Linked DNA regions of Sus scrofa. The main gene of each other region encodes a partner of the protein of the gene in region 4 in a complex. Links are inferred from orthologs where the notes say so. Each region holds a gene or a part of one and is shown on either strand. Other genes may lie near its edges. The genes, in order: POLR1B, TAF1B, POLR2K, UBTF, POLR1C, RRN3 and TAF1C.

Evidence for each region.
Region 1: UBTF (region 4) and POLR1B share a complex: the UniProt entries of both Homo sapiens proteins name them as parts of the pol I pre-initiation complex. The link is inferred for Sus scrofa from reciprocal best matches to the Homo sapiens genes UBTF and POLR1B.
Region 2: UBTF (region 4) and TAF1B share a complex: the UniProt entries of both Homo sapiens proteins name them as parts of the pol I pre-initiation complex. The link is inferred for Sus scrofa from reciprocal best matches to the Homo sapiens genes UBTF and TAF1B.
Region 3: UBTF (region 4) and POLR2K share a complex: the UniProt entries of both Homo sapiens proteins name them as parts of the pol I pre-initiation complex. The link is inferred for Sus scrofa from reciprocal best matches to the Homo sapiens genes UBTF and POLR2K.
Region 5: UBTF (region 4) and POLR1C share a complex: the UniProt entries of both Homo sapiens proteins name them as parts of the pol I pre-initiation complex. The link is inferred for Sus scrofa from reciprocal best matches to the Homo sapiens genes UBTF and POLR1C.
Region 6: UBTF (region 4) and RRN3 share a complex: the UniProt entries of both Homo sapiens proteins name them as parts of the pol I pre-initiation complex. The link is inferred for Sus scrofa from reciprocal best matches to the Homo sapiens genes UBTF and RRN3.
Region 7: UBTF (region 4) and TAF1C share a complex: the UniProt entries of both Homo sapiens proteins name them as parts of the pol I pre-initiation complex. The link is inferred for Sus scrofa from reciprocal best matches to the Homo sapiens genes UBTF and TAF1C.

What each region holds. Positions count from the first base shown.
Region 1 is NC_010445.4:43,953,638-43,957,675, forward strand, and holds part of POLR1B (DNA-directed RNA polymerase I subunit RPA2), read right to left. Parts: coding exon 4,025-4,038; intron 1,871-4,024; coding exon 1,700-1,870; intron 1,110-1,699; coding exon 953-1,109; intron 60-952; coding exon 1-59. UniProt on the Homo sapiens protein: Catalytic core component of RNA polymerase I (Pol I), a DNA-dependent RNA polymerase which synthesizes ribosomal RNA precursors using the four ribonucleoside triphosphates as substrates.
Region 2 is NC_010445.4:126,530,557-126,534,594, reverse strand, and holds part of TAF1B (TATA box-binding protein-associated factor RNA polymerase I subunit B), read left to right. Parts: intron 1-279; coding exon 280-502; intron 503-4,038. UniProt on the Homo sapiens protein: Component of RNA polymerase I core factor complex that acts as a GTF2B/TFIIB-like factor and plays a key role in multiple steps during transcription initiation such as pre-initiation complex (PIC) assembly and postpolymerase recruitment events in polymerase I (Pol I) transcription.
Region 3 is NC_010446.5:36,849,543-36,854,152, forward strand, and holds POLR2K (DNA-directed RNA polymerases I, II, and III subunit RPABC4), read right to left. Parts: upstream 3,081-4,610; 5' UTR 2,940-3,080; intron 1,739-2,939; 5' UTR 1,731-1,738; coding exon 1,670-1,730; intron 1,360-1,669; coding exon 1,267-1,359; intron 375-1,266; coding exon 352-374; 3' UTR 187-351; downstream 1-186. UniProt on the Homo sapiens protein: DNA-dependent RNA polymerase catalyzes the transcription of DNA into RNA using the four ribonucleoside triphosphates as substrates.
Region 4 is NC_010454.4:19,003,398-19,007,001, reverse strand, and holds the end of UBTF (nucleolar transcription factor 1), read right to left. Parts: intron 3,509-3,604; coding exon 3,437-3,508; intron 3,354-3,436; coding exon 3,210-3,353; intron 3,119-3,209; coding exon 2,993-3,118; 3' UTR 857-2,992; downstream 1-856. UniProt on the Homo sapiens protein: Recognizes the ribosomal RNA gene promoter and activates transcription mediated by RNA polymerase I (Pol I) through cooperative interactions with the transcription factor SL1/TIF-IB complex.
Region 5 is NC_010449.5:38,509,871-38,514,463, forward strand, and holds the start of POLR1C (DNA-directed RNA polymerases I and III subunit RPAC1), read left to right. Parts: upstream 1-1,650; 5' UTR 1,651-1,714; coding exon 1,715-1,798; exon of another isoform or gene 1,799-1,870; coding exon of another isoform or gene 1,871-1,903; intron 1,904-1,924; coding exon 1,925-1,996; intron 1,997-4,593. Other genes in the region: protein YIPF3, read right to left, coding at 248-354, 546-743, 1,338-1,418. UniProt on the Homo sapiens protein: DNA-dependent RNA polymerase catalyzes the transcription of DNA into RNA using the four ribonucleoside triphosphates as substrates.
Region 6 is NC_010445.4:7,561,680-7,565,717, forward strand, and holds part of RRN3 (RNA polymerase I-specific transcription initiation factor RRN3), read right to left. Parts: intron 1,034-4,038; coding exon 944-1,033; intron 830-943; coding exon 700-829; intron 12-699; coding exon 1-11. UniProt on the Homo sapiens protein: Required for efficient transcription initiation by RNA polymerase I (Pol I). Required for the formation of the competent pre-initiation complex (PIC).
Region 7 is NC_010448.4:4,446,798-4,451,611, forward strand, and holds the start of TAF1C (TATA box-binding protein-associated factor RNA polymerase I subunit C), read left to right. Parts: upstream 1-1,874; 5' UTR 1,875-2,109; intron 2,110-4,318; 5' UTR 4,319-4,319; coding exon 4,320-4,457; intron 4,458-4,643; exon of another isoform or gene 4,644-4,702; intron 4,703-4,729; exon of another isoform or gene 4,730-4,794; intron 4,795-4,814. UniProt on the Homo sapiens protein: Component of the transcription factor SL1/TIF-IB complex, which is involved in the assembly of the PIC (pre-initiation complex) during RNA polymerase I-dependent transcription.

The DNA.
Region 1 (4,038 bases), on a different chromosome or scaffold from region 4:
CAGTTTATTATCTGATCGGTCTTTAAACGTGAGAAGAGGAAAGCCCATGGTTTGCTTACCTGCAAAGGGAAAAAATTAGCATTTTGTTTTTTCTCCCTTGATTATAAAGGTGACATATAAAATTGGAAACTAATTATTCATCACAGGGTAATGAATAAATCATGCCGGCTGTTTACTACAGACTAATAATACATAGCGTGAAAAAATGGAAGTAGACCCTCATGTAGCAACATAAGTTCAGTACAGAATGCCGTTGGATATGATACTATTTATGTACATACATCTTCTACATCCCAAACAATTCTAGACCTAGTTTATGGACATCTGGGTGGTGTAATAAATGCATAAAAAGGGGATGTAAAGCATATATACAAACTATGGGATAGTAACACTGCTGGGAGGAGAGGGGTGATTTTTTTTTTTTTTTTGTCTTTTGTCTTCTTAGGGTTGCACCCATGGCATATGGAGGTTCCCAAGCTAGGGGTCTAATCAGAACTACAGCTGCCGGCCTACACCACAGCCAGAGCCACGCCGGATCTGAGCCGCATCTTCGACCTCCACCACAGCTCATGACAAGGCTGGATCCTTAACCCACTGAGTGAGGCCAGGGATCGAACCTGAAACCTCATGGTTCCTAATCAGATTCGTTTCCGCTGCGCCACTACGGGAACTCCAAGAGAGGGGGTGATTTTAATAACTGTCCTTGGTTATGTTAAGTGGAACTCCTTGTTGTTAGGAATTACACATTGAATTATTTAAGGGTAAAGGAGTATTGTGTCTGCAGCTCATTTTCAAGTGGAAAACAGTGCAAATAAAGCATAATTATGGGAGTTCTTTGTATTATTCTTATAACTTGTGCCTCTTCTCTGAGTTCGAAGTTATTTCAAAGTTAGAAATTACAAGCCCTTTTCTTCTATACGTATGGCTATCAGCACCCTCTGGTCCACCTTACCCATCTGGCATTGGTACATGTTCCTCGGACTCTGGTTGTGGTCAGAGAACGGGATGAAGTTGGCGATCACACTCAGCAGGCTGTGAGGGAAGAGCTCCTGGTGGGTGGTAACTCCAGCCAAAACCTCATCCTCAAAGATGGCAACATTCATGAAGATCTGGGAAAAGAGGAAGGGTGAGGAAGCCAAGGCCCAAGATTCCTGTGACTGCTGACATGTATTAGCTCTCACTACCTCATTGAGATGGGGCCTCAGAGACTTGAAAGAAAACCTTCCCACCCAGCACATGAACACTGAAAGGATCCACTTAGAATACCACATGCCTGACACTTTTCATTCTAAGTCGACCCTGGTCTGGGAGTTCCGTGGTGGCTCCACAGGTTAAGGATCTGGCATTGTTACACTGTGATCTGGGTTTGATCGCTGGCCTGGGAACTTCCACATGCTGCAGGCATGGTGGCAAAAAACCAAAAAACCAAAAAAACGAAATCCAACCTGATCCATTTGTGAAGGGGGATGGGAAGGAGGGAAAATTATTTAGTAGCACAAAGTACACAGTTTTGTAACTACAGAGATATAAGCAAAGATTCTGCATCTAACGAAATATTTCAGTCTCACCACCCGAAGCAGAGGCAGAGCTGGCCACAAAGGAACAAGGCGGGGGGGGGGGGGGCAGGATGGGAAAGGCAGGCCATGGGCCCACCAGCCCTCTCTCAGGTTTGATGAGCATGAAAACTGCTTCAATGTACCTGTTCCATAGTTCCAATTAGTTCTTCTCTGCCTAATCCCAGGTTCTGCACAGGCCGCACCAGTCTGCAAGGCGTGGTGAAAAGGTACAATCCTGGGTACAGACTTGGTTTTCCTGTCATGGGGATCAGGACCACCTCCATCCAGGGAGGAATTCTTTTTTCTCTCAACACCTGGTTTCAACAACAAGCGAGTTCAGTGAATAAGTGACGTGTTTTACAGCCATCCCTCTGCCACCTGGGAGGCTGGTACAATGCAGGAGATGAAACATGAACAACTTGTCATAAGAAGTGAACTCAGTTACGCAGTTAGCAGACTTAGTGCCCCTTCAGTCTCAACCCCACACAGGTGGCCAGTCACCCCATAACCAGAGTTGGAAGAAACCCTCCTCCTTGGGGGCTCGGTCCCACTCTCAGGCAAACTGGTAATGACAGAGACTGGGGCAAAGGTAAACAAGAATGTGTGTATCGATACACTAAATGAAATGTTGTTCTCTGATGTCTAAAATAGAGTAGATTACCGGTTGTATTTTTAAATGTATTCAATGAAAAGGCCCTTCCATCTGGGATTTAAAAACAAACAAAAATACAAATGATGAACGGAGAAATACAAACTAAAATTACAGAAATGTGAAAAATAATGAAACTTGTATTGCAATTCACAGTTAAACTCCCCATCAATAAAATCAAAGAATGGGAGTTCCAATTGTGGCTCAGTGGTAAGGAATTCCTAAGGATGCGGGTTCAATCTCTGACCTCGCTCAGTGGGTTAAAGGATCCAGCGTTGCGGTGAGCTGTGGTGTAGGTTGCAGACATAGCTCAGATCCCATGTTGCTATGGCTGTGGTGTAGGCTGGCAGCTACAGCTCTGATTCAACCTCTAGCCTGGGAACTTCCATATGCCACAGGTGCAGCCCCAGAAAAAGCAAATAAAATAAATAAAGAATGAAAATAAATAAGTTAAACTCCAAGCTCAAAAGCCAAAAATAAAAATAAAAGAACAAAATAACCCCAAAAAAGTACAAGTAAAGAAATCATATTAGGAGTTCTCTTGTGGCTTGGGGGTTAAGGATCTGGAGCTGTGACTGCAGTGGCTTGGGTTGCTGCTGTGGCAAAGGTTTGAGCCCTGGTCAGAAAATTCTGCATGCTGCAGGTGCAGCCGCAAAAAACCAACAAAAACAACACTAAAGATAAAACCTGAAATTAATGAGACAGAGTAGAGAAGAAGGTTCAAATTAATAAATCAAAATTCTCAGTTTTTAAAGGAACTATCCCCAAAGAGAGCACTAGAAGCAGATGGTTACACAGGGGAACTCTAGCAGATCTAAGACTAGATAACCTAATGCTTCCTAAGCTCTTCCAGAGCACTGAAAACTAAGAAAACGTTCTAATTCTTTTTATAAAGCAGAGACTTGTGAATGTCAATTTTTATTTTTGGCTGCCCTGCGGCATATGGATTCCTGGGCCAGGGACTGAATCCAAGCTGCAGCTGTGGCAACGCCAGATCCTTAACCCCACTGCACTGGGATCGAACCAGCACCTCTGCAGCGACCCAAGCCACTGTGGTTACATTCTTAAACCCCCATGGCACAGCGGGAACTCCCTCCTCTACCTGACTTTTATTTATTTATTTTAAAAAAAAATTTTTTTTTTTTGTCTTTTTGCTATTTCTTGGGCCGCTCCCGCGGCATATGGAGGTACCCAGGCTAGGGGTCTAATCGGAGCTGTAGCCACTGGCCTACACCAGAGCTACAGCAACGCGGGATCCGAACCACGTCTGCAACCTATACCACAGCTCACGGCAATGCCGGATCCTTAACCCACTGAGCAAGGGCAGGGACCGAACCCACAACCTCATGGTTCCTAGTCGGATTCGTTAACCACTGCACCATGACAGGAACTCCTTTTTTTTTTTAATATATTTTCAAATCCCAGTAGGCAACAGGATGACTTGTATCTGGCATATCTTTAATATTACTTGAAATATAAAGTCTGTATTTTAGGGTCCCCTATACGCCACTAATATTTACAAAGAAAAAGAAAGTTAAAAATGTGTTAGTGAGTGGACCAGAGCCCTCAATAAAACCACCACCACAGAAAAAAGGGGGTAGTACAGGTTAAATACCTGTCACTAACCCCAACCAATGAGGTGAGTATAAGGTAAGATGCTGGCTGCCACCAGAGAGAATGTAAAAGGCACTTTTGGGATCAGCTTCTGGCCTCTAGAGCCCTTGACCCTGGAGAAGGCCCTGGGGCTTCCTTGACAACAAGAAAAAGACCAAACAGCTAAGATGGAGGGACAAAACACCTCACAAGAACTCAAGAGCACCTTAAAATGTCGGA
Region 2 (4,038 bases), on a different chromosome or scaffold from region 4:
ACTGCTTTTGGTTGTCGTTCTCATTCTTTTTAAGACTTGTGTTAAAATATAGATGGCATAAAATTTACTGTTTGAAACCTTTCCAAGTTGACTTTCGGGGCGCCCCTCGTCCAGTTCCCGTTTCCTCTCAGTGTTACCCTCTTGCCTTTCATTTGCTGTACATTTGTCAAAACTAAGACGCCAGCTCTGGTACCTTACTGTCAGGTAATCTGCAGTCTTTATTTGTGATTTGACATTAGTTTTTATTTCATTCCTTTTCTTTTTTTCCCTTCCTTCCAGAAATGGTGGTGAGTCTACAAAAACAATTTAGCACACTGATTGATTCCACGCCCAGTGTTGAAAAAAGAAGCCCTTCAAGTTTTCAGTTCAACTGGACAGCAGAGGACAGTGATAGAACCTGTTTCCATGAACACAGCCTCCAGGGGGTCCTGAAGCAGAAAGGCCAGTCACTGACAACCAAGAATTCCCTGTACTGGCTGAGTACCCAGAAATTCTGTAGAAGGTGTGTGTGATGCTCTTAGAAATCCCGGAGTAGGAGCGCCCATCGTGGCGCAGTGGTTAACGAATCCGACTAGGAACCATGAGGTTGCGGGTTCAGTCCCTGCCCTTGCTCAATGGGTTAACGATCTGGCGTTGCCGTGAGCTGGAGTGTGAGCTGGAGTGTAGGTCGCAGACGCGGCTCAGATCCCGAGTGGCTGTAGCTGTGGTGTAGGCCGGGGGCTACAGCTCCGATTGGACCCCTAGCCTGGTAACCTCCGTATGCCGCGGGAACGGCCCAAGAAATAGCAAAAAGACCAAAAAAAAAAAAAGCACGGGATGGGGGCACCCATCTAGCTCAGTGGAAACAAATCTGACTAGCATCCATGAGGCTATGATGGGTTCAAGCCTTGGCCTCGATCAGTGGGTTAAGGATCCTGCATTACCACGAGCTGTGGTGTAGGTCACAGACGCGGCTGGGATCCAGCATTGCTGTGGCTGTGGTGTAGGCCAGCAGCTGTAGCTCCGATTCGACCCCTAGCCTGGGAACCTCCATATGCCACGGGTGTGCCCTAAAAAAAAAAAAAAAGAAAAGAAAAAGAAAGAAATGACAGGATTTAAAAAAAAAGACGAAATCTTTCGTTTGGCGTGAAGTAGTATTCTTTGCTAATTAAAAAAAATAGGCTGGATATCTTCTAAAGGAGTCAGGCTGTAATGAGAGCCAGGTAGGTTGTTTGATGGGATTAGAAGATGGTGAGCTTATAATCAAAACCATCAGAATTACACACTGAGCCTCGTTTATGAGTGTTAGGGATGGAGGTGTTAACTGCCTTTGATTGTTGTGGTACTCATTTCACAGTATAGACACTATCAAATCATCCTGTTGTGGCGTTCCCTTGCAGCTCAGCAGCTTAAAATCTGGCGTTGTCACTGCAGTGGCTCAGGTCACTGCTGTGGCGTGGGTTCAATCCCTGGCCCAGAAACTTTCCCATGCTGCAGGTGCAGCCAAAATGATTTAAAAAAAAAAATCATCCTGTTATAGCCTTAAACTTACATAGCTTGTGTGTCAATGATACGTCAGCAAAGCAGGATGAAGTTTTAGATCATAAAGACATTTCTCATTGAGACCTTAGGTCTTTACACCGACCTCCTTACACATCGACGCAGGCATCGTCCCCAGGGCAGGTCCCCACAGTCGTGCAGGGGATGCGCTGGCGAATGCAGCTGCCCGCATCCCAGCCCTGCTGGTGGTGCGCAAGCTGTGCTCCAGCTCCCCAGCTCTGCTGCCCTGATTGGGAAGCGAGGGGCGATGCTGACCTGGCTCCTCTTCTCAAAACCCCTGGCGGCTCCCGTCTCATTTCAGAGTGAAGTCGGGAGACCCCCTCTGTTCTCTGACCTCCCCTGCCCCCCTCTTCTCTTGCTCACCACCCCTGTTCACACCAGCCTCCTGGCTCTTCCTGAACTTGCCTGACACACTCCATGGCGGGTCTGGGCACATGTCATACCTTCAGCCTGGAACGCTCTTCTGCTCTGTCTCTACATGGGCTCACTTGCAGGTTTTTGCTCAGATTTCACTTCTTCAGAGAGGCCTTTCTTAACCATCATGTCTGAAATATCACCAGCCGTCACCCTCACCCACGCCCACACACCCACACACACACCTCATCACTCTCTGTCCCCCTTGCTTGTTCTTTCTTTTTCCTTATAGCTCGCGTCACGAGGGAATGTGTTGTGTGATTATGTATTTATTCCGTGTATTCATCTGCCTTCCCACAGAACAGGGCTTGGCACATAGTAGGTGCTCACTACGGTTGGTTGGTTGGTTTTTGTCTTTTTAGGGCTGTCCCCGATGCACATGGAGGTTCCCAGGCAAGGGGTCAAATCAGAGCTGCAGCTGCCGGCCTACAGCACAGCCACAGCCACACAGGATCCAAGCTGCGTCTATGACCTGCACCACAGCTCCCGGCAACACTGGTTCCTTAACTCACCGAGCAAGGCCAGGGATCAAACCTGCGTCCTTATGGGTCCTAGTTGGGTTCGTTCACCACTGAGCCCAACAGAAACTCCTAAGTGTTTGTCGAGTGAATGAATGGAAGACAGAAGCTTCCTCGTATGGTTTTAGGAGAGTTAAACGAGTTGGGTGTGTCTGTCACACAGTAAATGCGCAGTAAATGATCACCGTGATTTAACAAAATGATGTTTATTAGAATTTAACTTCCGGAGTTGAATATCAATCGAAGATGAGTACAGTGTAGAAAACACAATAGAAGACAATGAAATGAAGTCATCCGCATTACAGTTTACTGCTTAAAAAAAGTTTAGCGGAGTCTGGAGTGGTTAAGGAGTGTCCCTGTCTTAACAGCAGCAGCGAAAGGCCAGAATCCCAACCCCCGGGTCAGCTCTGCATCTGAGGGCGATACAGTCCTTCGAGGGGTCAGTGCAGTGGCTTCTTCAAGATTTACGGTTTCATCAAGTGGAAGGGAAAAGCTATGATGCTGGCTGGCGGGCTCCGTCCCCATCCCCACCGCGCCCCATAGGACCGGGAAGTTGGGACCTGAGGCGCTGTTGCTCTTCTGCCTGCAGAGCTGGTTCTGGAGGAGTTGGGGTGGGGGCGACACCTTCATGCTTTTTACATGATCCAAAGTTTAGATGTTCTTCATGGGTTTAATACTGTAATAGAAGACGGTTAGTTATAAAGAGACATTGATGGAGTCAGAGGTGAAATTGTCGAGATGTTTTTCCCTGCGTGCATTTGACGGCGGAGCACGGCACCAGCGATGCCGTAACTTTGAGCACCCAAGCTGTCCGGTTACCTTTGCCTATTTATTTTTAATCTACTTATTTTTTATTTGGGCCACACCCGCAGCATGTGGAAGTTCCTGGGCCAGGGATCGAATCTGAGCTGCAGCTGGGCCAGATTCTTAACCCACTGCACCTACGGCACAGCTGCAGCAGGGCCAGATCCTTAACCCACTGCACCAGGCTGGGGATCAAACCTGCGCCTCAGCAGCAGCCTGAGTGGCTGCAGAGCTGTTGTCGGCTCCTTAACCCATTGTGCTACAGCGGGGACCGCCACCTTGTCTATTTAGACTACAGCCTAGAACCACAGGGTGAGCAAAAAAGGGTTTAGCCAATCTTAGTAAAAAGGTCACCAAGTCCATGACTAAAACTATACGCTTTTCTCAGGATACCCCTTAGCCCCTAACTCGGAGCCCGCACACACTGCCCAGAGGGGTGTGTGTGTGTGTGTGTATGTGTGTGTGTCTGTGTGTCTGAGCTGTCTGATTTCCAGTTTCCTCTTCAAGAGGAACTGAGTAGGAGAGAGACTGAGAGCTACTCTGCTGATAAGCGTCCTGACAGCAAATGTGGTGCTACTCCTTTGACAGACAGTGTAGGGACTGGCAGAGAAGCAGACCAAAGAATTCAGATGGCCCTTCAGAGACACGGGATCACTGCCCAGAACCAAGCAAGCCTGACCGAGTCCCAGTTCGAGGGTGGAGCATGGTCCCAAATTGTGTGCACTCGTGGGGTTTGTTCTTCTTACCACTATAAAAGTGGATA
Region 3 (4,610 bases), on a different chromosome or scaffold from region 4:
CCTGGCCCAGGAATCAAATCCAAGCCACAGCTGTGGCAACATCAGATCCTTAACCTGCTGTGCTACAGCAGTAACTCCCCCAAATGATTTTAGATTTTGACTAAAGTGTGGTTTGGGGAAACATTTTTAACTTTCACTGTGTGTCAGATTACATATATGATGAAATTAAATTATGAAGCATGAAACTGAACCAAAAATACCTTTATATTAAACTATTAATAGACCCCTAAATACAATATGGTTTTTAAAATGAAATCATGATACACAGCTGTATTCTTAAAGTACACAAATCAAAAGCTATACAACATCAACAGCAAATCCAAATGAAGATATTCCTCTGAATTTCACGTTTCATCGAGCATCAAAAACCACCACTGTATTAAACTGAGTTAAGGAAAAGAAAAGTAATTAAAGATTTCATTAAAAATTTAGCTCTTCCAAGTCACTTTCTCTTTGTGACATCAATTTAAAATACACAAAAGAATGAAATTCACTATTTACTATGATAATTAGAAATGAACTAAAAATAAACTAGTTAATTATTAGTCCCCTTTTCATGATACAAAAGACCAATACACCAAAAAATACTTAAGTGATGGTAAAGGTAAAAATTTAGCAATCTAAAAAATACTGTTAGTTACTACATAACAATTTACTTTCTACTAATTTGTAAGCCTCACTTTCTCCACTAGGTAATATACGTCTCAATATTTTTATTTCTCCCTGTATAATTAGTGTGTCCATGAACTAAAGCTCAAGAATGAGTACTTAAATATAGAATCCAAGAAAGATACACTTATGAAAACCAAAATTAACTAGTATTTAGATTATTTAGTATATGCCTATGTACCGGCATATTGGTCCATAACAATGCTAATCAAGCTTTTTTTTCCCCTGCCTTTTTAGGGCCGCACATGCAGCATATGGAAAGTCCCAGGCTAGGAGTCGAATGGGGGCTGTAGCTGCCGGCCTACATACATACCAGCCTCAGCAACTCAGGATCCCAGTAGCATCTTCGACCTACACCATAGCTCATGGCAATGCCAGATCCTTAACACACTGAGCAGGGCCAAGGATCAAACCTGCGTCCCTATGGATGCCAGTCAGATTCGTGTCCGCTGAGCCACGATGGCAACTCCATGCTTATTTTTTCACTAAGTAATCCAAGTTTTACCATTTTTTAACAGCTAGTCTTTGACTATCAACCCAAGCATTATTCTCCACTTCCTCCTACCTCATATTTAGAAAACACAGTTAAAAGGATACATCTTTTAGTTCTTTTCTTGTACATTATTCTGTACCCACATTCTCTGCATCGGATGGGATCCCTTGATTTTATTTCATTTTCTGTGTGACATTCTAAAAGAGAAAACATATTTATTCAATGCCTAAAAGAGAAATAAGAGGCAAGCAAATTATCTTAATTATACTTTTCCCCCAAAGCACTAAAATATGTATACTAAATCTCAACATTATCAACATATTAAGGGAAAAGAAAGAAAAGAGTGGTGGGCAACGCACTTTTTCTAGGAGAGAAAATGAAATCTTAAAATAGTTGCTAAAGCGCTAACTTCAAAGAGGAAGGACTCAAGTAAAATAAAGATAAATGCACTATCTTTTTAAAAAACTGAGGTAAAATACTTTTATTTTATGTAAGTGCCACTCTTACCTCCACAGATATATATCATTGGCTGCTGTTTTGGGGGTTGAACGTCCTTCTGTGTGTCCATCGTTATCCCTGAAATCACAGATTCAAATACTGAACATCTTAAAGGGGCCCCTCACAAATCCAATCATGCCTTATTTTTCTCAGGGAAAGCTAAAAAGCTAAAAAGTTCCCAATTCCTAATCCGTACTTTTTAAAAATCCTACCGCTGGTTCTAAAGAATGAATCAAACCCACAAATAAGCATTTTGCATTTACCCCCAAACTGGACTCCATAAACACTTTACAGATTTCATATTTACACATGCTATTTCATTATAATCTCTACAACAATTCTAGGCGGTTAAATAATTACTCTTAATGAACAGATCAAGAAACTAAGATTTAGGGAAGGTTAATTTGGTCAGGATTATTCAGTAGTTAAAAGGCAGAGGAATTTAGATCTGACTGCGAAGCTCTGGTTTTCATTTAACACGAGTACAAGTACTATTTTTCTTTTTCTTTCTTTTTCTTTTTTTTTGTCTTTTTGCTATTTCTTTGGGCCGCTCCCACGGCATATGGAGGTTCCCAGGCTAGGGGTCGAATAGGAGCTGTTGCCACTGGCCTACGCCAGAACCACAGCAACGTGGGATCCGAGCCGCGTCTGCAGCCTACACCACAGCTCACGGCAACGCCGGATCATTAACCCTGCCCTGAGCCAAGGGCAGGGACCGAACCCGCAACCTCATGGTTCCTAGTCGGATTCGTTAACCACTGCGCCACGACGGGAACTCCAATTTTTCTTTTTCTTTCTCTCTCTCTCTTTTTTTTTTTTCCACCCGCGGCATGTGGAAGTTCCAGGCTAGGGGGTCCAATAGGCCTGACAGCCACAGCAACGCGGGATCCGAGCCCCGTCTGCTATCTATACCACAGCTCAAGGCAACGCTGGGTCGTTAACCCACAGAGCGAGGCCAGGGATGGAATCCGCATCCTCAAGGATACTCATCTGATTCAGTTCCGCTGCGCCACAAGGGGAACTCCCACAAGTGAAATTTTCCCAAAATTTAGCAAGAAATTGCCAAAAAACTATACCCCTCAACAGGAAAACATGCGAACCGAAGAAAAGGGAAAAATAATGAAATAACTCCTAACAGCTGAAAAGGCAGACAACCCAACAGCTAAACAAGCCAAAGGGCTAACAGCATCGACTCCATCCCCAGCCTCTCTCGACTCTAATCCCACACCGGACCTCCTGTAACCCCTAGTATCTTTCCAGTTTTGGCCCAAACACTCACCTTCCAATCCCAAACCGCCAATCCGCCAAACCCCTACCCACGGAACACGGAGAAACTTCCCGAGGCTCCCTAACAGATTCCTGAGGCCGCTGTGTGTCAGCCCACTTCCGGCACTGGCAGATGACGCAGGATGTAGTCTCCGCCCCTTCCGCCCAAGGAGTGGCCGAAGAACCCGGATTGAGCGCGGGCAGTTAAATTGGAATTATGTATGTTTGATTCGCTCTGTAGAGGTTCTTATTTGGCTCCCAACTATTTTCATTTTTCGGGGAGGCAAAGAATTTTAGCAGTTTCTCAGGTCGAAGGAGGTTTGTTTCTATGACAAATGAAGGCCGCAGAAAGTAACAGTTTTCCAAGAGGTCAGAGCGTTAGATACCCAAGTGAAGTGCTCATGGAATCCCTGGGCTGACCGTTACTCCAAAGAACGTGGAAGTATCGGTTTCACCGCTGATTTCCACGTAGAAGAGCAGTTTTCAGATTATGGATTTCAGATCGTTTTAATACCTGTGCCGCCGGCAGTGGAACAGCCGCCTCCTGCCCTTTGCATAATGTTTGCTTTTCGACCCTTTCTCACTTAGGTACCTGTCATCCTTCTCAGCCTCTCCTTTTACTCGTTTTAAAGCACAGGCGGACTTGCAGGCAGCTACATCCAACTACTGCCACTTAAAGCTGAGGGATTTAGGTAGTGGTGGCTGTTTACCGACCCTCCTTTGGTCCCATGTATTCTCTAGAAGAACAAAACGACCTGCTCAGTGGAATCCTTTCAAAGATCAAACTATTAGTGAGACATTATCGTTGGATGTACACATTTACATTCGTTTGCTTCTTTCATAGCAGGCATTTTACTAATATCAGAATGAGAGGAAGAAAATGAAGTTGTTACAATTTAGAAAATACATATTCGTTATCTATTACAGTTAATTGGAGAAGCAGGTTTCTTTCTTCCCAACATGCATTATTTTGGTTTCTTATTAAGCAGGCAATACTGCTCTCTGGTCTTCCATACGGAAACTTGGGAACTTTGAGCTTCGCATTACACTTCCAGGAGGAGTTCCAACTGCCGGCACCTCCACAGACCAACTTGAGAGATTTAACTCAATCTTCCCAGTCTTCTTAGCTCCCTGTTGTAAAAATTTCAGGAAACACAGTGGAGTGTCCTGCTTCTTCCTCCACAGACAGGCTAAGACAGAACATACAAGTATTTTGACCATCTTAAAAAATATCTCTCCTGTCAGCCAAAGGGAAGAGGTAACCCAAAAGAAGAATCAAAATAAGCTTTGCTCCAAGAAGTATTAGATAAAACCATTGTTATCATAAGAGAAAGATTATGGAGTGATCCAAAAAGTATAACTTTAATCATTGCAAGCTGACCTGGATTCCAACTCTCAAGCTTGAGATTTCAAGAAGATGCTGGCACTTAATGCAGTCTATGGAGATCAGGAGGAATTAACACATGCAGAATACAAACGGCTCCTGGGACCCTACAGAGGGGTAGAGTAAAGACAAGTTGTAGCAAGGAGATCCAGAATTTCAACAAGAGTTCATGTTGGGGCTAGATCCCAATCCAACACTCTTGTTCCTATGAGTAGGAACAGTAATTTTAGCATCATGTGGAGCATGGTCAGTGGAAGCTATTATCAGTGATGACAACTAACATTTCTTGAGTGCCTACTA
Region 4 (3,604 bases):
GAGGGGTCTTAGGTGGGTCTAAGCCTGTGGTGGGTCTAAAGCCTGGGGCTTTAGCCCGTGGCATTCCAGGAACCCAGTCAGGGCCAGTGCAGGGACGGCTGTCTTCCTTACCCTCAGAGAGTGATTCATCTCGGCCCAGCCCACTTCCCATCAGAGGTCTGGGTGTTAGGAAACTCATTCCTAACCCTGAGTGAGCGAAGGGCTCAACTCCCAATGACAAGCCCATGCATGACGGGGATGAACCCCTGACCCTAATGGCTCATCATCTCCATTTTTTTCAAGGCAGTTGCACTCTGGGAGAAAATAATGTATTTGTTTTCCAAATATCCAGTCCTTAGTGGCCTGACAACCCAACGTGAACCAACTGAATCGAGAAAGTGCAAAAACAGTAGCACAAGGAGTTCCCGTCGTGGCGCAGTGGTTAATGAATCTGACTTGGAACCATGAGGTTGCGGGTTCGGTCCCTGCCCTTGCTCAGTGGGTTAAGGATCCGGCGGTGCCGTGAGCTGTGGTGTGAGTCACAGATGCAGCTAGGATTCCGAGTTGCTGTGGCTCTGGTGTAGGCTGGTGGCTACAGCTCCGATTCAACCCCTAGCCTGGGAACCTCCATATGCTGCAAGAGGGGCTCAAGAAAAGGCAAAAAGACAAAGCAAAACAAAACAAACAAAAAAACCCCCAGTAGCACAAAACAGTGCGAAGGTAGGTTGCCTATGGCATCTTCAGGAGAGAGGAAGATGGTTCTAGAAAGAAGAGGCCAAGAAGCTGGCTTCAAGGGGCTTTCCACATTGAGCCTGTTCGGTCACCTCTGCCACCACTCCCCCTTCATGGAGTCCAGTGATCAGACAGCACTCAAACCTTTGTTTTTTTACTTTATTGTACAAAAAAAGGGAAAACAAAACTTCCACAGTTGGCCTTAAGCTTAGGCGGACACCTCTAAGCCATTCCCTCCCACCTCCCATGTTACAAATTCAAGTTGTGGTTGTTGTTGAAACCTACAAAAACACTCCTTAAATATTAGAAAAAAGGGGGGGGAGCGGGGTCCTCCCACCCCAGCCATCCCATCCCAGTGCCAAAATGCACTCAGAGTGACCTCTCACAGCACCAACACCCTAACCCCCCACAGCCCTGTTTGTACTGTAAGAATTTTTCAACTTTCAAAACGGGGGGAAAGAAACAGTGCCCCGCTCGAAGTTGGTTTTAAGTGAAGACATGTTTCACTAAAACACAACAGCGCAGGAGCATTCAAACAGGGAAACAGGGTTCTCTGCAGGGGCTCTCCGGAAGAAATAGAACCTATGAACCCTTGTACCTAATTCCAGGATCAGGACAAAGGAAGGGGAGTGGGAGTGGGAAGTGTCCCTCCCTAGCTCCCCCCACTCCCAGCACCAAGTCCAAGGCAAAGCGGACCGCCTGCCTTTGGGAGCAGGACCCACCTTTCCCAGCCCGCCTCCTGGGCGGAGCTCCCACTCTTCCCCATCCCTTGGCTTTCATTCAGAGGGGAAGGTGGAAAAGCACAAAGCCCCGATTAGATAGGTCAACGATGTGATTGTTTAAAAAAAAAAAAGTCAAAATTTAATAAAAACAACCCCCCCAAATTTAAACCCAGAGACAAGGTGGCTTGGCTTATTAAGAGTTTAGGAATCGGGGTACCAAAATTGGGGGGATGGCTGGGAAGGGTTAGGACAGCTGCAAAAACAGCTTGTGCAGACCTCTTCCCCAGCCGTGGGTTTGGGGAGGTGGGCAGACCTGAGAAATCAAAGGAAATGGGGGTGGGGGAGCTGGAGGATGTGGCGGAAAGGCAGGAGCGACGTGTAAGTTACAAGCTTCCAACACATTTCTCGGAGCCCAGGGTGGCCGGGAGGCCTCTCAGATGAGCTGCAGAGGCCTTTCCCACCAAATCAAAGCTTTAAGGTTCTACCTGGTCTGTTCCCCTCTCCGCCATCCTGCTGGATATTGGAGACCAGCAGTAGCTCAGAGGGAAACCAGTATGAGAAGCATCAGAGGAGCTTCGGTCACCCCGCAAAACTGAATCCGAGATTCGGCAAAGCAGAAGATATGGAGAAAGGGGCCACCCAGCCTGTCCCCATCAGGATCAATGTCACCCCGGCCCGCACCAACACTTTCACCAGATTCACAGACTTGAGGTGGGCTCCTCCTCCTCTCTTACACACACAAATACACATGTGCCTTTGCACACATCCACAGGTGCACCCATGCTATGTACAGGCCACGCACACACACACGCACACACACGCATTTTTCCACACGCATCAAGACCGTTTTAAAAAAGTCCCAAACCTAACCCCTACCCCCTCCCTCTCCCAGAAATGACAACAGAGACGGCAGCCGAGATCGGTAGGAAACGTCTCGTTGACAGCTCAGAGCTTAAAAAAAAAAATATATACACATATATAAAAAACACTTCTGCCCCCTCCCCTCGTGAGTGGGTCCAGGCAGCTCCTTCCTGCAGGGGGCAGGGGAGAGGGCTGGGGGGCCGTGCCTATTTCCCCATAGGCACCCGCCCTCCTCTCCCATGTCCCCTGCCTCCAGTTCCAATGTAGGGGTCCAGGCTGCAGCCCCTCTGGAAACAAAGGGGCCTTCCCCAAGCTTCCACCCTCCCAGGGGTTGGGCTGCAGGTGTAGAGGGCCTCAGAGAACTCTTTGGGACCCACCCCCGATCCCACTCCCAGGTCCATTGTCCATGCCGGAACTGCGAGTGCAAAAGAGGGGTGGGCTGGGCCGGTCCAGTGGTGGCTCAGTCTGGTGGTTGCGCTCCCTGGAGGGCCCTCCAGGGCTGATGGCTCTAAGGCCGCAGAGTTCTAGCCTGGGCGCCTCCAGTGCCTCTCCCCACTGTATTTTGTTTTTTTTTTTAAAAAAAAAGAAAAAAGAAAAAGAAAGAAAGAAAGTGGGGGAGGCCAGGGGGCAGGGGACAGAACATGGGAGAGAAACAAAGGTGGTCAGTCGAGGAGGGGCGCCCCGCGTGGGGCTGAGCCTCAGTTGGAGTCAGAGTCCGAGGAGTCCCCCGAGGAGGACGAGCTGGAGCTGCTGCCCTCGGATTCGTTGTCCTCGTCCTCGTCGTCATCCTCGTCGTCGTCCTCGTCCTCATCCTCATCCTCGTTCTGGGAGGCAAGGGAAGTGCAGTCACCAGGGGGCCGTGCTGGCGGGACCCCGTCCCGCCCTCCCGCCCGCCCGCCTGCCCGCCCGCCCCACCTCATCCCCGTCCTCGCTCTCGTCCTCGCTGCTGGACTCGGAGGAGTCGCCGCCATCCTCGGAGGAGTCCCCGTTCTCGTCATCTTCCTCCTCCTCGTCCTCGTCCTCGTCCTCCTCATCCTCTTCATCGTCCTCCTCAGACTCCTGCGAGGGATGGAAGCCCATCAGGGGTCCCTGCCGCGCCCTGGACCCTGCACGGGGCCCTCCTCCTGGGAGGGGCTCCTTACCGACTTAGACTGCAGGGTAGTCCGGCTGGACTTGGGGTTCGGGCCTCGAAGCTTGGTCATGCTCTTACGTTTCTGCAGGAGAGGGACGGGGACACAGGCGAAGGGAGGGGCTGTAAGCTCCAGACCCTGCACCGAGGTCGTCCCCACCCCCCACCCCCGCTTATCCCA
Region 5 (4,593 bases), on a different chromosome or scaffold from region 4:
CCTAGTGGAGCATCAGGAAAGGAAAGGATAAACTTGGAACAGGGAGCAAAGGAAGTGACATTTGAGCTAGGTTTTGAGGAAAGATGAGAAGTTTGCTAGATGGAGAAGAGGAGGAAGGTGTGTTCTCGCCAAGCCCTGTTCTGTGACTGGAATCATGAAGAGGGGATTCTAAGGGCTTGGAGTCTGCTTGTAGAGTGGATGAAGGGCTAGATGTCAGGAAGGCAGCTTCGGTCAGGAGGATCCTCACCTGCTTCGCACCTGTGCAGGCTCCACATCAAAGTAGGGTCTCAGGATGTCGATGTTGGCGTACAAGCTGAAGGCCCTAGAGGCTTGTCTCTTCCCCGCCTGCCACATCTGAAGCAAGGAAGACCGGGTGGGGTGGGAGGGTATCGTGAGACTCTTGGCTTTAAGGCCCTTTTGCTTATTTCTTGTTGGATCTCTACATGGTTCTAACTGGACAAGCTGGGGTGAACTTCACTAATACCAACTCAGAACCAGAGGCCTCAGGATACTTTTCCACCTGTCAGAGAGCCAGTCTTGCTTACCTGATCAGCCACCTGCCGGCTCAGCTGTCCCTTAAAGCCCTTCATGCCCAGAAACTCCCCATCCTCTTCTTCAGCGGCAGCTGCATCAGCATCCACTTCTTCCTCACGCAGGCGCTGATGCAGCTCACCCATATCCTCGAAGCTGGAACCTGAAGTATCATCCATGTTCTCCATGTCAATCACAGCTGAGCCCCCACCCTGTGAAGACAACGGATCCCACAGTGGAGGACCTTTCTGCTCCATCCGTTATGTCCTTCTCTGTTCACCGGAGAGCTTGGAGCTTTGTCCTTTCACTGCTGGAGATACGGCTTAGAATTACCATAGACCATGCCACTCCCCTCCCCTCAACTGCTCTCAGAACCTTTGTTTGGCTCTCTTTTCCAGCCTGGGAAACCTACTCCCTGTCTTCCATACGTGTCCTTTTCCTACCAAAGCCACAAAAGGCTGCAAAAGTGCCCATTTCCTTTGTGTTTTCCACCCCAAAACAAGGCTGCGCGCACAGTGTGGTTTTGGCCAGTGAATCCCGCCTACCCCCCATCCCACCCTCGCCCCTGGCCGTGCCCGACCTTCTAAGTTGTGCGGAAAGCAAGAGCAAGGGGGCTCAGAGGTACTAGTGTGGACCTTTTAGGTCCGCACTAGTTCCACTGCCTTTCACGTGCACGAAGACCCAAAGAAGACAAAAAGTTCTGCAAACGGAGCAGACTTCCAAGGCTCGAAGGAAGAGTCCCCATGACACTTCAGGACAGCTGCAGGCCGTGGGGCTGCTGGCAGCCGGAGCCGTGGGGCGCTTACCTGGATGTTTTCATCGAATCCTCCCCATTCCGGGCCAGCCCCATTTCGGGCGCCGCCGGCCGGCGCCGCCGGAGTTGCCATGTCCCTCGAGGGCTCCCGTCGCTGAAGCCCGCGCTAGTCCCGCGCGCTGAGGAGGAGTGGGAGAGATGAGGGCCTGACGGATGGACAGGTCCAGGGACTAGAAAGAAAGGTGGGATCGGCCGGAACGCAAAAAGGAGAAAACCGGATGTTTGGTTAAAACTGACTTCCGGTATCTGAGGACGTGGACGGAGGCGGGGCAGATTCTCGCGATATTTAGGATTCCGGGAGGTGGTGTGTTGCCACGGAGACGGGGCAGGGAGACTAGAACGCACGCGCAGGCTTGGTACTCTAGTCACATGGTGGAGTTGAAGATGGCGGCGGCTCAGGCTGTGGAGGAAATGCGGAGCCGCGTGGTTCTAGGGGAGTTCGGGGTTCGCAATGTAAGTCTTGTGGACTTGACCTCGGGAGGAGAAATCAGAGCGGAGCAGGGATGAGTTAGAGTCGGAGTGGGGATGAATTTGGCCTCGCTGCTCCTTCGCGAACAGGTTCGTTTCTCTTTGCTCTAGGTTCATACTACCGATTTTCCCGGTAACTATTCGGGCTATGATGATGCCTGGGACCAGGACCGCTTCGAGAAGGTGGGTAGAGCTGGAGGTGTTCAGAGAGGGTATGAGGATCGGATCTTGCACTCTGAACATCCTGTTCCTCGGAAACTGCCTTGGGGGTTCGCTCTGGATGTGTTAGGCACTCGATGTGCACAATTTCTGCTTTGTTCTACAAGCTAACGAGATGGTTCGGTCTTTTTGGAAAAGAGTACAGGTAACACGACTCTAGTGAGTTGTGGTAAGGGCGATTAACAGCAATAAAGATTGAAGCTGCACTCCCTTTCGGGTGGGACTCGAACTCAGCCAAAACCCCCATTGGAACTTGAACCCATGGTCCCTGACGTAGGAGGGGACTCAAACCCACTGTCTTAATTGATACCGCTCACCTGCTATCGTCAGGACTTCCTGAGCCTCAGGTTTTGTCTCGTGGGAAAAAGAATTCAGCGTGAGGCAAACCGATACACAATAAGTGAATTTATTAGCATAGGACGCTTGTCAGAAATACTAATGAGCAGGCAAGGGAGTGCGACCCAGAGAACAAAGAGGGCTACATTTTTATAATCAAGGTGAAAGTGGGGCGGGGAGAAGACCACCTTATTTCTCATTCTTGGGTAAGATGGTCCAGGCTTGCATCATCAGTTCCTCCTTTGACCCTATATGGTCTAAGGGGGAGTGTCATGGGCTGTTTAAATCATAGGTATATTAGCAGAAGCGGTAACATATGCGAAAATGTGGTAATTCGTTTCAGGTTGCAGAATAATTTCCCCTTTCACCTAGTTTTTTCCCTCTTTCACCTTGTCTACATGCAGCAATGCCAGTCTTCAAGGACCAATAACTCTGACTTCATGTAACAAGATTGAAACCCCATATCTCTTGTCTTGGGTTTTAACTATCAGGACTTGTGGCTTGTTTCTGGTGCTTAGATACACCTGGTCTTCCTTCAAGGTGGTGTAGATTGTTGCTAAGTTACTGGATTCTTAAGTGGTCGGTTGTTGGCTTACAGCAGTCTTCAAACCCCCTTAACATTTCCTTTTTGTCTTTAAACCCTAGTGGGACTTCTAAACTATGTGATTATCCTACTCTATCCCCATCATTCCTTCCTCCAGCTGTTTTACTCCATTATGCTTAAATGAGCAAATAGGGAGAGACCGATCATTAGCTGCTTCCTCCTGAGATGGGTCATAGGTCTGTCTAGAGAAGGAGCATAACACCTGTCCCTCCTCTGTTGGGAAAATAATAAGCCAATGCTGCTTGTTAGTGTTAACCTTGTGGCTTCTGTTGATCTTCCGCATCAGATGATAAATCTATTAAAGAAATCAAGAGAAACGCAGCAGTAAGCAATTAAAAGAGATTGTAGCCAAGATTTTGGGGATCCATTCCTTCATTCCTCCAAAAGCCCTCCCAAATCTGGAAGAAGGCAACTGAAGGTCTCAATCTGTGTTTGTGTTTTAGCACTTGAAATACATTAGCAGATTCATCAAGAATAAAAGCACAAGATTCCACCTTAATGATGGCACAGTTTCCTTCCTGGGAGGCTGTAATAATGTCTAAGGCTATCCTGATTTGTAGAATGGCTTTTCTCATTAAAGTCATTTCAACATTGGGTAAAGAAATAGCATCCAGGAGTTCCCATCGTGGCGCAGTGGTTAACGAATCTGACTAGGAACCATGAGGTTGCGGGTTCCATCCCTGGCCTTGCTCAGTGGGTTAAGGATCCGGCATTGCCATGAGCTGTGGTGTAGGTCACAGATGCGGCTTGGATCCCGCGTTGCTGTGGCTGTGGTGTAGGCTGGCAGTTACAGCTCCTATTAGACCCCTAGCCTGGGAACCTCCATATGCTGCGAGAGCGGCCCAAGAAATAGCAAAAAAGACAAAAAATAAAATAAAATAGAAATAGCATCCAGCATAGTCCACCTTAATGATGGCACAGGTTCCTTTCTGGGAGGTTGTGATAATGTCTGAGGCCATCCTGATTTGTAGAATAGCTTTTCTCATTGACGTCATTTCATCGTTGAGTAAAGAAATAGCATTACCTTCTTTTTTTTTTTTATTTTTTAAAAAAATGACTTTCATTCAAAGTCTCCTGTGTAAATTTTGTTAAAGTTTCAATATGAGCTGCAACATTTTCAAGACCTAAACCTGGCGTAAAGATGTTTAGCAAGTGATCATACCAATGAAAAACAGACCAAGTCCATTTTGCTTTTAGCAAGGGGAAGTTGGCAGGAGAATAATTCAGAGGATAATAATCATAATGCATATTTGTACTATTCTTTGAATGTATTTTGTTCCTTAATAGTTAAAGCAGATGTACTTCCTCCCTCTCTATGTGCTTTTTAGGGCCTCACCCTCAGCATATGGAAGTTCCCAGGCTACAGCTGTTCTCAGAGCTACAGCTGCCTGCCTCCGCCACAGCAACTTGGGATCCGAGCAGTCTACACCACAGCTCATAGCAATGCCGGATCCCTGATCCACTGATTGAGGCCAGGGATCAAACCTAAATCCTCATGGATGCTAGTCGGATTTGTTTCTGCTGTGCCACAATGGGAACTCCCACAATATATATTTAATAGGCCACAAATAGGCTGTTTTGGGTCAGCCTAGATTTCAAATTAAGTAATGTATAAGCCAGA
Region 6 (4,038 bases), on a different chromosome or scaffold from region 4:
GATCACTCGGGCTTTTGAAAAAAGAAAATATGTTATTCTTCTAATGATGATCTAAACAAACAACAGCCACATAATAAAGCGATCTTTCCATCATCCAAACTTAATACAAGAATAAAATTTACAGTTGGGAGGGAGGGATTTTAAGTAACTAAAAATCCCTGAGTTCTAAGACTGCATCAGAAGCTCACCATAGCAAATTACAACCCACAAAAATAACAGCAACGAATGAATCTAGATGCCTCCACAGAGGTCATTACAGGGAACAGACATGTATCAGAACTGCTGCTGATATGTAACCTGGAGTCTTCTGTGGTGGTACAATCTCCAAAATGTATGGGGAAGTGGCACTGTAACAGAGATATTTAAAAAATGAAAACTCAGAGTTCCTGCCATGGTGCAGCGGAAATGAATCAAACTAGGAACCATGAGGTTGTGGGTTCGATCCCTGACCTCGATCAGTGGGTTAAGGATCCAGCATTGCCGTGAGCTGTGGTGTAGGTCAAAGAGGCGTCTCGGATCTGGCACTGCTGTGGCTGTGGCGTAGGCCGGCAGCTACAGTTCAGATTAGACCCCTAGCCTGGGAAACTCCATATGCCATGGGTGTGGCCCTAAAAACACAAAAGACAAAAAAAAAAAAAAAAAAAAAAAGAAAGAAAGAAAGAAAAGAAATGTCAAAGCAAGCCAAGAGCAACCACTCACGAGGTACAAAATGAGAGGCGATCATGCTGAGACATGGTCTCAGGAAGACAGTCTGTGCAGATACAAGATTCCCAAGGAAAGCTAAATACTCTTCTACCACTGTCTGACTTCTGTTCAGCCACTTCAATCTCTAGAGGTGGGAGAGAGGAAAAAAGAACGGAAACATTTTACTGATACAATATATACTATTTTTAAAGTACTGAGTTACAAAAATAAGAGTCAATGAAATTAACAGTGAACTTACCAACAGAATATTAATAAGCTGCTCAAAGTCTTTTGTCAAGTACATGATGGAGGAACGGAACTCTAGCAGCCAGTTAATGATCTGGTCATCCTTAAGTTAAACAAAAAAAAGTACTTTCAAAATCACAGATCCTCTAAAACAACACAGAAGATGGTACCTATCTGGGGAATAATATTTAAATTAGGGGGGAAAAGTCACAAATTTGGACTGAAGTGAAAACTGGGATAAAAATTTCTTACTGTGGACTTCCTGTCCTGGTTCAGCGGTAACAAACCCAGCTAATATCCATGAGGACGCGGGTTCAATCCTTGGCCTCGCTCAGTGGGTTAAGGACCTGGTGTTGCCATGAGCTGCAGTATAGGTTGCAGACGAGACTCAGATCTGGAGTGGCTGTGGCTGTGGAGCAGACCGGCAGCTACAGCTCTGAGTTGACCCCTAACCTGGAAATGTCCATATATGCCAAAGAGAGTGTGGCCCTAAAAAGACAAAAAGAAATCCCACTAGTATCCATGAGGACAAGGGTTTGATCCCTGGCCTCCATCAGTGCCTTAAGCTGTGGTGTAGGGCACAGACACTCGGCTTGGATCCCAAGTTGCTGTGGTGTAGGCCAGCAGCTGTGGCTCCAATTCAACCCCTAAGCCTGGGAACTTCCATATGCCAAGGGTTTGGCCCCCCAAAAAACATCATTTTGGTCTCTTCTGTTTGCCCTAGGAAACACCTCAAATGTTGACACCTGGGACTTTTTTTAAATTGAAGAATTATAACAGATTCAAATATTCTAAGATCACAAGGTACCTCTACTTCCTCTATACTCATGCTGCCTTGCAAACATGCTGATCACACTCAGTCTAAGTTGATCAATAAATACAACTTTTTCTTAACCCAACCTGCAAATGAGTTTAAATGTATTAAGATGTGTTCTATATAAATGACAGCTCCACTACACCTTCACATATTTTTCAGACAATAAAACTGCCATCCATAATACATTAAGTGCGGGGGAAAACCTGCTAAATAAAAAAAATATATATCTAATAAAAATAGTTTTGTATTCATGCATATATAATTCACAAGAAAAAAATTAAAACCCCTAATTTTTGAAAGAAGATGGTTAATGCAGGTTAAAGTAGGAGAAAGAGACATAAAAAAACAAAAGCAATACCGTGCTGTACCTTCAACAAGAGACCATGAACAGTCTTGATCCTGCAGTTATAGGCTCTTAACAGCGCTGCACCTACAGCGACAGGCTACTCATAAGGAGCATCATTCAGGGAGAAGACGCCGAGTGCCAGCCATCAACACTGCACATATGGACCTCTTCCTAATCCCGACAATGCTGCACAGGGATTACTGTCATTCCCATTTTACAGGAATGAGGAAACAGGCTAAGAAAGATTAACAAGCAATTTGCCCAACCAAGCCAGTATAGAACTAGCTTCAGACTAAAAAAAAAAAAAGGAGTTCCCGTCGTGGCGCAGTGGTTAACGAATCCGACTAAGAACCATGAGGTTGCAGGTTTGATCCCTGCCCTTGCTCAGTGGGTTAACGATCCGGCATTGCCGTGAGCTGTGGTGTAGGTTGCAGACGCGGCTCGGATCCCGCATTGCTGTGGTTCTGGCATAGGCTGGCAGCTACAGCTCCAATTAGACCCCTAGCCTGGGAACCTCCATATGCCCAGGGAGCAGCCCAAGAAATGGCAAAAGGACAAAAAAAAAAAAAAAAGAACTAGCTTCAAACCCATTTGCCTAGACTAGTGCTCCAGCCACTCTCCCACAATGCCCTGCCCCGGGGGAAGGCGCTCCCCACCTTCACTCAACCAGTGAGAGCTTCCTATGCACTCTGTGACAAACCTCAATGACATGGATGGCCTGCTGATGAAATCCTAACTAACCTGGCAGTAAAAGAGTCACGACTCATTTGCACTGCAGTAATGTCACAATGTCCACAATCATTAAAGAAAACAAGGCCTGAAGCAGAAAAGACAAGCTAAGTTATGTGCAAATAAAAATAAGTTAGCTCTATCCGATCTCTTTTCCACTAAAACAAGCTTAGGTAAATTATAAGGACAACATTTAAACTGCACCTTTTTTTTTTTGCTTTTGCTTTTTTAGGGCCACACCTACAGCATATGAAAGTTCCCAGGCTAGGGGTCAAGTGGGAGCTTCAGCTGCCAGCCTACGCCACAGCTCACAGCAATGCCAGATCCTTAACCAGTGAATGAGGTCAAGGATCAAATCCTCATCCTAATGGATGCTAGTCAGGTTTGGAACACGCTGAGCCACAATGGAACTCCTGGCCCCCTTTTTAGGACCGAACCCTCGGCATATGGAAGTTCCCAGGCCAGGAGTCAAATCAGAGCTACAGCTGCCAGCCTACGCCACAGCCATAGCAACGTAGGGTCCAAGCCTCATCTGTGACCTACCCCACAGCTCATGGCAATGCTGGATCCTTAACCCACTGAGCGAGGCCAGGGATCATACCTGCATCCTCAAGGATCCTAGTCAGCTTCGTTAACCACTGAGCCACAAAGGGAACTCCCAGAACTGCTCCACTGTTTCAAGCAAACCAGTCAGAGACTTTGGTGCTTAAGTACTGAATTATTATTGGAAATAAATTACTTGCAACACTCTTCTGAACTAACATACACACAACTGATATGATTCTTGGTCTGTTAAAACCCCAAGGAGGAGACATGCTGACATAAAATACAGTAGAACACAAAGAATGCGGTCCTTGTTCCTGTGGAAGAAGGCACAGGTCAGAGAAGGTTCTAAAGAGGAAATGACAGGAGTTCCCTTCATGGCTCAGCAGTAATAAACCCAACTAGTATCTATGAGGTTTGATCCCTGACCTCACTCAGTGGGTTAAGGATCCGGCATTGCCATGAACTGTGGTGTAGGTTGCAGACATGGCTCGGATCCTGCATGGCTGGTGGCTGTGGCTACAGGATGGCAGCTGTACCTCTGATTCGACCCCTAGCCTGGGAACTTCCACATGCCATGGGTGTGGCCCTAAAAAGCAAAAAAAAAAAAGAGGAAGTAACACTTGCACTGTCTTTAAAAAGAGTCTTCATTCTCTGGGGTGCTATCCCTTAC
Region 7 (4,814 bases), on a different chromosome or scaffold from region 4:
ACTGAACCACCATGGGAACTTTAATTTTTGCAACGGCCTCCTTGTTCGGCACTCATCTCCGGCCACACTCCCCTGAGGAGACGAAAGCTTGGAACCATCTGATTCCAAGCACTTCCCAGATAAAGTCTGTACAGATGGAAGCTGTGGACTTGGAAATTGATTATTTTTATTTTTTGTCTTTTTAGGGCTGCACCCACAGCATATGGAGGTTCCCAGCTAGAGGTCGAATCAAAGCTACAGCTGCCAGCCTATGCCACAACCACAGAAGCGTGGAATCTGAGCCATGTCTGTGACCTACACCAACAGCTCAAGGCAATGCCAGGTTCTTTTTTTTTGTCTTTTTGCCCTTTCTAGGGCCACTCCTGTGGCACATGGAGGTTCCCAGTCTAGGGGTCTAGTCAGAGTTGTAGCTGCCAAGCCTACGCCAGAGCCACAGCAACGCGGGATCCTAGCCGCGTCTGCAACCTACACCACAGCTCACAGCAACGCCGGATCCTTAACCCAGTGAGCAAGGCCAGGAATGGAACTCACGTACTCATGGATACTAGTCAGGTTCCTTAACCACTGAGCCATGACGCGAACTCTTGGAAGTTGATTCTTTAAATGAATGGTTCTCAAAGTGCGATGCCTGGACCAGCAGCATCAACATCTCTGGAAACTCATTAGATATGCACATTCTTTTTTTTTTTTTTTGTCTTTTGTCTTTTTGTCTTTTGTTGTTGTTATTGTTGTTGTTGTTGTTGCTATTTCTTGGGCCGCTCCCGCGGCATATGGAGGTTCCCAGGCTAGGGGTTGAATCGGAGCTGTAGCCACCGGCCTACGCCAGAGGCACAGCAACGCGGGATCCGAGCCGCGTCTGCAACCTACACCACAGCTCACGGCAACGCCGGATCGTTAACCCACTGAGCAAGGGCAGGGACTGAACCCGCAACCTCATGGTTCCTAGTCGGATTCGTTAACCACTGCGCCACGACGGGAACTCCTAGATATGCACATTCTTAGATCACATCCCAGACCTACTGAACCAGGAAACCCTGGGGGTGGGGCCCAGCAAACAGTTATAACAGGCTCTCAGGGGATTCTGGCACACACTCAGATTTGAAAACTCCCGGCCTGGATAATGGTAATATTTATGATTGACCAGTAGTTCTTAAAGGGTGTTCTCCCTACAAGCAAAATCGGCATCACCTGGCAACTTAGGAATACAATTTATCAGGCCCCAGACTCACAGAACCAGAAATTCTGTTTTAACACACGCTCCAGGTGATGCCAATGCTAGCTAGACTTTGAGAAACAATGCCTAAAGCTGTATTTGCCTGACCACTGGGAAAGCCTCATGCGCTCCCATGGGTACCAGAACCTCTACTTGTAAAGCCTATTTCATAGTATATAAGGACAATTAGGATTCCTGCTGACTAATGAAGTGCCTGGCTGACAGTAGGTGCTCAGTGTTTGTTGAGTGAATTAATACAACAATCCTGAAAAATGGGAAGTTAGTTAAGCACAGGTGGGGTTCGCACGGCCATCAACCTGGACTTCACTATTGGAATTTTTTTTTTTTGTCTTTTTGTATTTTTCTAGGGCCGCACTCCTGGCATATAGAGGTTCCCAGGCTAGGGGTGCAGTCGGAGCTGAGGCCGCCAGCCTACGCTAGAGCCACAGCAATGCTGGATGTGAGCCGCATCTGTGACCACAGCTCAGGGAAATGCCGGATCCTTAACGCACTGAGCGAGGCCAGGGGTCAAACCCGTAACCCCCTGGTTCCTAGTGGGATTCCTTAACCACTGAGCCACCACGGGAGCTCCCACTATTGGATTTTGACGGGATTTTGTTTTTACTGCCCACAGGGCCGCCTCCACCCCCCATTCCCCCTCCGCCCGGGAGGTGGCGCTCTGGGGCGCCCATGAGGCCAGGCTGGGAGGCGGGACTTCCTGCCTTCGAGGAAGTACTTCTAGCCCAGCCCGGAAGTCAGAATATTCGCTGTTGTGGGAGGTCCCGTGGAGGGAGTTGAGCTTGGATTCAGTTTTCGGGCTCCCTCGTGGCGCGAGGGTCAGGCGAACGGCCCGCGGAGGTTCGTTTCTCAGGCGACCACGGCGAAGCCTAGGCCACGTAAGTGTGCACGCCGCCTGGCCGGCACTCAGCGGCAGGTCCCTCTGCTCAGGTCCGCGGGCTCCGAAGTGGTTTATTAGCAGCCGCTGGCTCCCGGAGTTGGGAGGATCCCGCCGCTGTAAAGCGTGGTAGCAACAACTGTCTGACACCCAGCGCTTGGTGCGAGATCTGTCTTGCTATTGTTGGGTTGAACTTCTGGAGCCTGGAGGTGGATGGGGAAGGCTTGGACGAGGGGATGTCTGAAGGGAAGGGCTGCCAGCATCCACTCTCCCATCCTCTGGCAGGCGCACCTTTTGCCGTGCCCGGCCTGGAATTAATGCCGGTGACTAACCCTGCATCCTTGGATGTCGAAAGGGGCTTGGAGAGCCCAGCCCGAGGGCGGGAAGTCGAGGCTGTCTTGTCTTGGGGCTTCTCTGAGATCATGGGCTCCACTAGCGCCCTCAGCCTATGTATTTGTAAGGCTGTTTGGTTTCTTTCTCCTCTCTTCCATTCGTTCTGGATTTGTTCCTTCAGCTTATAGATGTTGATTGTTACTATGTAGCAAATACCAAGGCACTGGGGATAAGGTCCCTTCCCCAGGGGGACTCTTAGAACAGTTTGGAATCACATAGCTTCATCCATAAGTCTCTAACCCCACACCGGAAGGCGTTCTTAGGAGGAAGGGTGCAGGGTGTTTGTTGTGGGCTAGGGTTGGGAGAACTGGGAGAAGTGTCCTGACTTGCAATCTGAAGGGTGAGTAGGATTTTTGTAGGTGGGTAGGAAGGGCAATGGGGCTCATTCTAAGCAGAGAGATAGCGATAAACGGTCCTGAAGTGAAAAGACACATTCCCGCCACTGCCCTCTCCTGTTACGGAAAAGAGAATGACAGCAGCAGCCAGACGCCAGGATCTCAAGAATGAATCAGATACTGTCTCTGCCTCTGGAGAGCAGTCTCGCAGAAGAGAGAAGACTACACAGAAACCACAAGTAGAATGAGGCCCAGAGAAACACATTCATTCATTTGACAAGTATTTACTTCACTTACTGTGCAGTGGACACTTCACGGGGTGCTGAGGGTACATGGATGTTGGAGGTTACAGAATAAACAGGCACAGTGCACCTGCTGTTGCTGGGGAAAGGGTTTTGCTTCCTGAAACTCTCATGCTGGTGTTTCCTTCTGGATGCACAGGAAAGCGAGTAGTGGTTCCGAACTTGGACTTTGAGTCTGGTGGAGGATCACGCTGTTGGCCTTGGGAAAGTCACTCTTTGCTGAGCCTCAGGGTCCTGAACTCTGTCTTAGAGGCAGAGGAAGAGTGAGACATGTAGTACCTTTGTCTGGCAGATGCTGGTGCTCAGTCAGTGAGCGCTGCTGTTATTTTTGTGGTTAATTAAAAAAGGGAAGAGGGGTTTGGTGTTCCAGTTGTGGCTCAGTGGGTTAAGAACCCAACTAGTATTCGTGAGGATGCAGGTTCAAACCCTGGTCTCGCTCAGTGGGTTAAGAATCTGGTGTTGCCATGAGCTGTGGTGTAGGTTGCAGACTCGACTCAGATCCCACGTTGTTCTGGCTGTGGTGTAGGCCGGCAGCTGTAGCTCCGATTCCACCCCTAGCCCAGCAACTTCCACTTGCTGCAGGTATAGCTGTAAGAAGAAATGGGAGGAAAGAAAAAGGAGGGATTATTTTTCTGCTTTTCTAGGACACTTTGTATTTACCAAAGGCCTTTGACGTAAATTTATTATTCAACACACAGTCAGCTACATTTTTTGGAAGGTACTTTACCTGTCAGTGGGAAGGCAGACAAATAAGATTCGTTGTCCCTGGCTTTGGGGACTTGAGTTTGTCTTGAGCGTGTCGTCTGAGGATGTATAATTAGGATATATGAAGGAGCGGGATGGAAGCTGACCCCTTGCCACCTGACTTGGTCCCGTCACCTACCTCCGGGTTCATTCCGTGGCTGCCTGGTTGTTCAGGGGGTGCCACATGCCTTCTGCCTCTGTGAAAACCACACCCTCCCCTCCCCTCCCTCCTGGCTGGCTGGTTGGTGTTCATGGAGCACTTATTACTGTCTGGCACTAGGCTGCATGTTTGTTCTTTGTTAGCTGCTTCCCCAAAGAAACTCTTCCCCCCTCGGGGCCCTTTTTGCCTTCCCTGCCTTCCCAGGAACACTGGCAGCTGCCGGCAGGTTCTGGTCTCTGAGCAAGGCCAGTGTGACGTGTGGCTCTCGTTTTCCAGGATGGACTTCCCCAGCCCGCTCCCGCCCTCTTTGTTTATGACCGGCCCCCTTGGTCTGAGCGGTGTCCCTGATGTGTCCTTCATGTGCAGCTGGAGAGACGCGCTGACGCTGCCGGAGCCCCAGCCCCGGGCCTCTGAGGTGAGGGTGGCGGGGGGGGGCCCGGGTGGTGCGCCTGGCCCCCCGCTCCTCGCACAGATCCGCGCCGGAATCCTCTCCTTTGGGGACCAGGGATGCTCTGCCGTCCACCGAGGGCTCCTGAGCGGGAGCTGTTGGCTTGCTTTCCTGCCTCCCTCTCCCTCTTCTTTCCTTCCTCTATCTGTCCAGCAAAGACTCACTGAACAGCCACTCCTGTGGGCCAGCTGCCTTCCGGCCTGGCATCCAGTGTAAGTCAGATGCTCTCCCTGCCCCAGGGGAACAGAGGGAGCTTGAGCCAGAGTAGACGAGTGAACAGGCCCAAGGATGAGATCACTACAGAGTAAGCGAAATCCAAAGGAT